Canis lupus familiaris: one gene and its partner. The protein of the gene in region 1 interacts with the protein of each later gene in a pairwise test. Links are inferred from orthologs where the notes say so. Each region holds a gene or a part of one and is shown on either strand. Other genes may lie near its edges.

What was found.
Region 2: the proteins of DAB1 (region 1) and MBNL1 interact in binary tests that used the Homo sapiens proteins (3 or more experiments, as listed by UniProt). The link is inferred for Canis lupus familiaris from reciprocal best matches to the Homo sapiens genes DAB1 and MBNL1.

What each region holds. Positions count from the first base shown.
Region 1 is NC_049226.1:52,847,592-52,852,155, reverse strand, and holds part of DAB1 (disabled homolog 1), read right to left. Parts: intron 3,245-4,564; coding exon 2,696-3,244; intron 1-2,695. UniProt on the Homo sapiens protein: Signaling adapter of the reelin-mediated signaling pathway, which regulates the migration and differentiation of postmitotic neurons during brain development.
Region 2 is NC_049244.1:47,458,229-47,462,792, reverse strand, and holds part of MBNL1 (muscleblind-like protein 1), read right to left. Parts: intron 3,080-4,564; coding exon 2,879-3,079; intron 1-2,878. UniProt on the Homo sapiens protein: Mediates pre-mRNA alternative splicing regulation. Acts either as activator or repressor of splicing on specific pre-mRNA targets. Inhibits cardiac troponin-T (TNNT2) pre-mRNA exon inclusion but induces insulin receptor (IR) pre-mRNA exon inclusion in muscle.

The DNA of each region.
Region 1 (4,564 bases):
TGAGGAGATGATGTGGCTTAATTTAGTAGCTAAATTTCCAGTGCCACTGATAAGGCCCCCCATCCTGCCATAACTGCCCAGAATTTCCCAAATCTGGCTGCTTATCAGACAGAGAGTGATTATAAAACTTGGTGAGCACCTTTCGCCTTGATGGATCTATATTTAGAATAACAACACAATTTACTGTGTGCCAGCAAGCTGGGCACGGTGCTGGGTGCTAGGCATTTTGTATTTACACATACTGCAAAGTGGTGTGGGACCTATTTTTCTTTCCTGATGAAGAAACTGCAGCCCTGAAAGGTGAAGGGACTTTCTCAGGGTCACCAGCACCACGGAATAGGAGTGTTGGGATTTAATACAGCTCTGTCTACACTGTCGGGCCAGCTGTGAGGTCTATGTCAATTTGACGTAGATTTTTGTTCCAACTGATGAAAAAACTCCACTCAAAACATTCTGAAGGTGATGCTCATGGATAGAAGGATATAATTACTGTTTTTACTCATTTTCTTTACAATAGAACATTATTTTTTTTAATTTAAAAGGAAGTCTGTTTTATGAGATGATTATGGAACAGACTAGTTCTAGCAGGTTTAAGTGAGAACACCCTGATTTCCAACAGCTAATGAATAAATGTTGGCGTAACTGGATTCCAAATTGTGTTTGAAGTGGCTTATTGCTTACTAGAGGCCGAGAACACAGGCTGAGGTGCCAGTCTGAGAGGTGTACCGGTCCTACTTATCAGATGAAGTCATTTGGAAGCATAATTAGAGGTTCATTTATGTAAGTGTCTTAGCCTTTAGAAGGCTCTTCTAGAATACCTGAATAATCTAAAAGAGTGGTTCTTTAATGGTGCAATTTAAATCCTAGGAGACATTTCACAGTATCTTGGGTCATTTCTTTTTTTTTTTTCTTTTTTTCTTGGGTCATTTCTGACTATAAAGACTCAGGGGACAGGACATGTATTTCTGGCATCTAGTGGGTGGAGGCAGGGATGCTGCTCATCATCCTATAAGCACAACACACACCCCACAACAAAGAATTATCTGGCCCCAAATATCAATAAAGCCCAGGTTGTAAAACACAGCCACAGCTGAATGGCCTTTGTTCTGTTCATTTCAATCTCTACGATTTTTCCCAAATGTCTCCCACACGCTAGATGCTATGCTAGCATTAGAAGAAGTAGACGGGTGATTAGGACATATGTCCTGTCCTCAAAGAACTGAAACTTCCCTTTTATTTATAGCTGGCATGCAAGTCCATTGAAAGAGAGACACTTGCTTTCAAAAGATGCTTGCTTATTTATGCATGGCTCTCATTCCCCCAGCATTTCATTTTTTATTCATTATTTTTCACTGAAACCCTGTGACGTGGAGCTAATAGAGATGCCCTCATATGGAGATCACATGGCCTGAGTAGAAGTAGGTTGTTTATACACATAAAAGGCATTCATTTTCATAACTGCCTTCTGAACCTGGATGAAATAACACCACCTAATTGTGTTAACATTAGATTTTTTGACAATTCTCACTATTGGCCAAGCAGTGATCCCTATCATCTGTGACAGTAATGAAAACGCCAAACTCATTGTTCCATGAGACTTTTGCTTTTCCCTATCAATTGTCAAAGGCATGGGCTGAATTACCAGTCACTTTTCTGAGCATATGTGTGCTCAAGTGTATCTAGATTCTGATTGGCTGCATGGTCATGGCTTTTTGGATGCTTACAGTAGAAAAGTGATCTGGAAAGAATCACTGAGTGCCTGAACTAGAAGGAAGTACACTCCTCATCATCCAAGCCAACTCAATGCATTTCACCCATGACACAGCTGGGGTTAAGAAAGTCACACACATGGCCAAAGACACAGCTTGTGGTAGAAGAGCAAAGGTTGGAACTCTGGTCCAGGGATTTGACACAGAACTATTCAATATGCATTCATAATGGTGACAAAAATACCTTAAAATTTGTGATGTATACAATGTTTCAGTACATGTACCACTGATCCTTGTAATCTCTCTTAGGCTAAGATAGATGAGGAAATTGAGGCTCACAAAAATGACTTGCCGATAGGCACAAAACTAGGAAGTGATAAATCTGCTCTCTAGGTTCCCAGTCTAGAGATTTCTGCTTCACTACCATTTTTTTCTCTTTGACGACCCAAAGCCCTGAGCCAAAATCTGGCTTCAACTAAACCAGCTGGATGAGATCTTATGGCTGCTCTTTCTTTCCCGTAAGTTTTCTCTTGATTTTAGTTTTCTACTCTAATTTTTGTCCTTATTTCCCAGACTTTTAAAATTCATATTCACTATTCATTTCCATTTCAACAAGCCGTACCAAAATCTGTGTCATAAGGAGGGATAATGAATGAATGGATGGATAGATGAGCAGATCAACAAAAACATTAGAAGCAGAGTGACTGGTAGGAAAATAACTACTCTCGTTGTCCTTGAACCTCACTCTCATTATTGGTCAGACAGGTCTAACAAAACCTGTAATAAGCATTGTTATGAGTATAAAAGTATGAAAACAATGGTTACGAGGTAGATATGTATAATTGGCACCTCATAACTGGTAGCTATTATTAGTAGTAGTCATATAAACCAAGATGCCTGCTGAATGTGAACTGAGATGAGTTCTGTGACTCCAGAAACAAGGCATCGCTCTCATTGGAGTTAGGTCTCCCAAGAAGGGCACTCACGTGAGTTGGTTGATGGTGTGGTAGAAGTCACAGGGGTCAAATTCAACTGGGAGATGTCAAAGTCGTCACAGTCATCTGTATCCTGTGCCACCCCGACTTTGTTGAAGTAACTGGAGAAGGCCTCTGAGGTACAGGTGAGGGAGGGTTGGTCGGGTTTGCGGGAGGGCACGGGTGGCGGCTGGGCCATCTGGAAATCCTTAAACATTTCTTTCCCCATTTTCTGTCTGGGCTTCTCGGTCTGTGGACTTGACCTGGTGGAGTCACCCGTGGTTGGGACGGTTGCAAGGGGGGTGAGGGGACCTTGGAACATGGCGGCTGGCAAAGGCATAACAGTTTGTGTGGGCATGAAGGCGGCTGGCGGAAACTGCCCGGCTACAGTTGGCCAGGGCTGCTGAGTGGCAGGGAAGAGACCCGGCTGGCCCCATGCGATGGGCTGAGCCCCCGGCATCACCTGAGCGACTGGTGGCTGAGCACCCATGGCGATCTGCTGTTGGACGAGGGGCTGCTGGCCCCAGAAGGATGGGAGGACGGCGCCCATTGCAACATAACCTGGAAGGGTGAGAAAGATGAGTCATGTACCCTGGGAAAGAATAATTCATGGATTCAGGTGATCGGCAGAAAGATACTGAGCAGTTGTTACGTTCCAGGCTCTGTGCTAGAGACCCGGGCCACAAAGATGAGTAAGATGAAAGTTCTGGCTTTCAATGGAGTGTTCCTTCCAGAGCCACGGTCTGGAGAAACCTAAGAAGGGGACTCATAAGCAAAACTAGAATGCAGTGAGCGAGCAAGCCGGGCAGGTGTTTGGGAGATAATGATAATATTGCTATAATTAAAGGTTTCTGACTCCACACAGCCTCAGGCGCTGGTGTGTCTCAGTGGAAAAGGTAGAGTACTAGACATCGGGTACATTTGGGTTTGAATCTTGCCTCCCCTTCTGGCTAGACCAAACACTTAAACTTTCTAAACCTCAAGCTCTTGGTTAGAAAGCCAGGTTATAAGATCTTCCTTTTCAGCATGGAAAACATGTGCTGAGGGAAGAAGAATCAGAGTATCGGGGATGTTGAGGTCTAGGTTAAAATTTGGAGTTCTTCTGCTTCTTATCTACGGAGTTTAGGGAGAGCTCCACAAGCTCTCTCGGGCTCTCTCTCCTCATCTGTGAAATGGGCAAAAAATACTGTCTGCCTCATGGGCTTGGTTTAAAGATAAATGGAGATGACGTTTTTGAGGTGGACTACTGCACCTGACACCAAGTATGCATTCAATAAATGTTAGCAATTAGTAGGATTTAAATCAGAGAAATCCTAGGAAGTACTTAATACCTTGCTTGATACATAGCAGCCATATAATAAGTGGTAGCTCCAGGTATTAGAACACATTATTTCTGCATTGTCATCATGCCAATTTTAGGGACTGTCTACTCAGGAGCACCTTGTACAGTGGCATAGGTTGGGGACGCCAAAACTCCGGAGGGTCTACTCACATATGTCACCATGTTAATTGTTGGCTGTACTAAGTCCTTTCAGGTGAGATATAACCATTTTAAAAGGCGAAGTGACACTTTTCACAGTATCAATAGTAACACAAATAATTTCCATGTATTCGATGTCTATGATGTTCTAGGTACAGTATTAGGTGCTTCACATCCTCACGGAATCCCTGCAGGGTAGGTATTCTCATCCCCATTCTAGGGATAAGGAAATAGGTGTTCAGAGAGGGAAAGTCCATGTTTAGGGTCACAGAGACAGCATGAAGTGGGATCAGGATCTAAACTGAGGTCACTTGTCCCCACAGCTAGTGGTGTTCTTCCCTCTACATCACACTGCCCCAGCCAGACAGCCAAGACCAATTTCTGATATCTGGATAGTAAGT
Region 2 (4,564 bases), on another chromosome or scaffold:
ATATTTAAATATACTTATTTAAAATGTTATAAATAAAATTTCCAATAACTTATAAGCTGGCATAAAAAGCAAAGAGACAACCTAAATGTTCCATAGAATGTTCTAATTGGAGGCAATCTTACAGATTATCTCGTTCAATCCTCTAATTTCATATATGTGGAAAATGAAGCTCAGAAGAGATGAGAAACTTGACCCAAGGCTACTCGCCTAATTAGCAAAAACACTAACACTAATTCTTGGGTTCCTGTTGTTCAACATTTTTGGTAGCCTCACATCAGGTGCTATAAATAAGTCATCAGTTCTTCCGAACAGAAGAACCAGAAGGCTGATAATCTATGGGATTTTTAATTTCCTTATGGCCTAACAATGTGCAGCAAAAAGAGAGAAAGAGGCGGCAAGAACAGTTGGCCAATATTTAAACAAATTTAAACTTTTTTCACCTTAAAAGGAACTCAGAATTCAAACATGTACTTCTGAGTCCCATGAGGACAAAGTAGAGATTTAAACCCAAATAACTCGACATGTGACCAACTGGCAAATAAGCGTGTGCACTTCTTGCCACACCATTTAAGTCCCAGTATGCTGTGCGATCAGCACCAGAGGAAAGAACCTGAAGATAGGAGTGTCTCAGATCTCAGGGCCGAGCAGAAAGACGGGCCCCTGAGCTTCCCACTGCAATATGCTAGCAGATTCTCACTGTGACACTAGAGCAGATCCTGTTAGCCAGAATGAGATAGGAAGCTGCCCTCCCACCAGCAAGCAGTTAGATAAGAGGAATTCGGGTTAAGAGGAAATGACAGTCATACAGCAGTAGCCACTTGTGAGCACAGCAGAAGACGACGGACAAAATACACAGAGGAGCTCCTCGCAGAAGAGAGAGAGAGAGAGAGAGAGAGAGAGAGAGAAAGAGAAAAGAAAGAAAAGAAAAAAGACAGAAACCCCAAACCAATGACAAAAGTACTCTAATTTTAATTAACCATTATACAAAATATAACCAATTACAGACTACCTCAAACTGTGGGAAGCTTCGTTTCTAAGAGTTCTGACCACACAGCTCAGCCTCGTAAGAGATTTCAATAGAGAGTTGTAAGCTTCCTAAATATCGTCTCCTGTTTAATAACTAATTCATCAAAGTTCATCTCAGGTTGCCTGTTGGGTCCCCTTCAGTCAACAATCATGCATTATGAACCCAGGGTGTGCTTCCAAAAGATCGGGGCAGGGGGAAGGTGAGTCACATATGAAGCATCCAGCAATTTTTAAATATTTACAATCTCCTAAACTTCCTCATAATTTATCTGCAAACAGCACTAGCTTGCTAATGAGCAAGTGCAACCGCACGATGACAAACCACCCACAAGTCGAAGTGCATCTCTAGCACACAGCAGTCCTTGGTCCACGGGGAGCGTGCAACTAGGTCTCAAAGTCCTTTCTGAGTTCTCCGCATGGTGCTCTCTTCATTAGCAGCTTTTCCCAAAATGTTCAGGAAGGTAAGAGCTCAAGCTAAACAAGCAAACAAACAGAAACCCTAAAGAATTTACCAGAAGCCAGAAATTCTTGCTTCCTCTCTGAACTGTCACCTGTGTGGGAATGAGTTATATAGGGTTTCAAAACGGAGTCCTAAGTTCATACCAGACTGGAACATCCTTCCTACGACCTCAAGTAAGTTTTGCCACAACTCTGCCCCTAAATCTATTGTCCTGGGAGATGGAGTGAATGACAGTGTCTTCCTCAGAAGATTGTCTTGAAGACTGACTATGTGCTGCATGAGATGGGTTGAGGCCGAGTTTGCTAGAAAGTCAATACCCAATAAACACCAACGACTGTTACTGCCATCAGAAAAGGTGGTGGCAGTTCTAGTTGCGCTGAACTCTGGGATCCTCTGCAATGCATGTAGTGAAGCCCTATAAAGAAGAAAGCGGTGCTTGCTCAGTAAATTCCTGCGCAACTGATAAATCATTAGTGTCAATTATGTTCATCACACAACAGCCTTATTTTGCCTTTTTCTCAGTCGTTACCAACATCCCAAACTTCTCAGCCCTAACTGTTGCCTCATCCTAACCGAGGGGAAAGAACAAAGAGTCATTTTGCTCCTCAGTTGGACACGAATGCCTGGTTTTAGAGCTTCCACGGACAGTAACGTTGCCGTGTTTTTCTTCAATCTACAGTTTACCGAATCCATTAATTCACAGCCACGCTGAAATTCGGAGCAACCACTTTGATACCAGAATGAGATCTTTCGCTTCTTTTTCATGCTGCAATAGCAAAGCACATCCATCTGATCATCCTTGACTCTAGAGCCCGATGCAGTTTCCAACTGAAAAACTTTCATCGGAGCACACTTCACCAGCGGAGCTGCCTTGCTATTCCAACCTAAATATTGTGAGGCCTGTGAGGAAATTTGCAATAATAAATTTTAAAATGCCTGATGCACTGTAACTGAGCAAACTGTTGTGAGAACAAGTGTCAGGGGAGGAAAAGAATTTGTTCTCAAAAGAAGCAACACGAACAACGCACATCCAGGGAGCATTTGCTGTGTGCCAGATGTCGGTCTAACGCTTTGAGGAAAGGGCCATTATTATGTCCATTTTGAGGATGAGGAATCAAAGATAAAACCAAGTTAAGGGGCAGCTGGGCCCCAAGGTCTGGGTCCCTAATCCCTGCTACACTATCCGGCTGCTGTGGCTTTTATCAACGTTCCATTTGTCAAATACAGCATACCTCCATACCTCCTCCTTTTGGAGCAAAAGGCTCCAAATAGTCAACCCAAATCTATACTTCAAATTTCTTTTTGGCCTTTATGGCCGTGGAAGAAATGAACCAACAGCACACTTTGAAACTCAGAATGGAGTCCATAGAGAAACCAGCTCATCATTCCTACCTCAAGTCTGTCTGTCCGCATTAACTTCTGTGCGGCAGCTGCAGCAGCTGCAGGTACAGGGACCCCGGGATTCCCTGTGACCAACATTGGTGCGGTCGGCAAGATCTCTGCTGGAACCAGGCTTGGGGACACAGGTCCCAGGTAGGGATTAAAGGCTGCTGATGCATTGGTGGCTAAGCTTGGTGCAACTGAAAACATTGGCTGGAAAAAAAAAATAAAAAGCAGAAGTTTAATATACAAGTCTTGGCTTGTATTTGATATCCCACATTATATATCTACCCTCCATCCATCCATCCATCATCCATTCTTCCTTCCGTCCCTCCCTCCCTTCTTTCATTTAATTCTGTTTATTTAATCTCACTCAGGCTAAGAATGTTTCTTAAATAAGTATTCATCAAGTCAATGTGTTTCTAAACTATAATAGGTGATTTACTCGTTCAATTAGCTGCTGGGATTTTGAAACCCGGTGTCTATAATGCTTATAATTTCTTTTTGAATAACAGATCGCTTATTCAATGCAGTCATTGCTTGTGGTCATCTAATCTCCATTTTTGTCCTGATTTAATCCTGGAAACTTATCTGAGAAACACATTTTATAATTGCTATGTCAGATGAACTTGAAAGATCTGTTTACAACTGTTAATGGGTTGCAAGTGTCCTATTATCTGGAATAAATAAAGCAGAACTCCCAGTGGGCAACAGAGTTTCGCAGTCAATATAAACTGTGAATAAATCTCAGGGGATATGTGAAAAGACGATGATGACACAATTTCTTTTGAACACATAAGGTAAAGCGTTTGGCATATTCACTTGTGCGTTTTCCTAAAGAAACTATCAATATCGCACCAGCTTATCACACCCTCGTGAAATACTTAACAAAAAATTTACCTTACTAGGGAGAAACCACCCCAAATGTGAAGCCTGAAACAGAAAACTTCGAAACACATGCTACATGCTTTTGCAAGGAAATACACGTGGTGGCACCGAAAAAAAAGTCACAAGATCGAATTTCTGCCAGAAATGCTTTCATGGATATAGGAGGATGGTTCCTACCTGGGACACGAAGATTTGTGTAACGGGAAATGTATTTGTTCCTGAGTAGAACTAAATGGGACACGAAGATTTGTGTAACGGGAAATGTATTTGTTCCTGAGTAGAACTAAATTATTTACCTGAAAGCTACTTTGGCAATTTGCTTTTCCCATTTTTTTTAAAGCATAACGTAGCACAACAATCTGCCACCTTATGGGTGGTATATTTTTAACTTCCATCATTCAATAGGGTTTCATTCAATTCTTGAAGCCTAAGATTTTGTGCAATAATAGTGTTTGTCTCCAAAACCCACAAAGTCCTGGGCAAAATGAATCCTGTTCTTTAAAGGACTTTTTAACAATCAATTTTCTTTATTACCCTGTGATAAGGAACAGAATCACAGAAACCTTTTTAGACTGAAGGGAACATCAGTGTTGTAGCTAATTCTTCTCTCTTACAGAAATAAGAAGTTGGACGAACCCTGAGCTGACACAGTATTCAAGAGAGTTTTAGAATAAAGTTTTATGCAATTAAGATGTAACCGCAATTCTTAAGAGCTCAAAAGAAATAGCTTTAAAAAAAATAAAATGTGTTCTTATTTAGTATGGCCCTGCCTTGTCCTGTATTTAGAAGAGTAAAACGGAATTCAAGTAT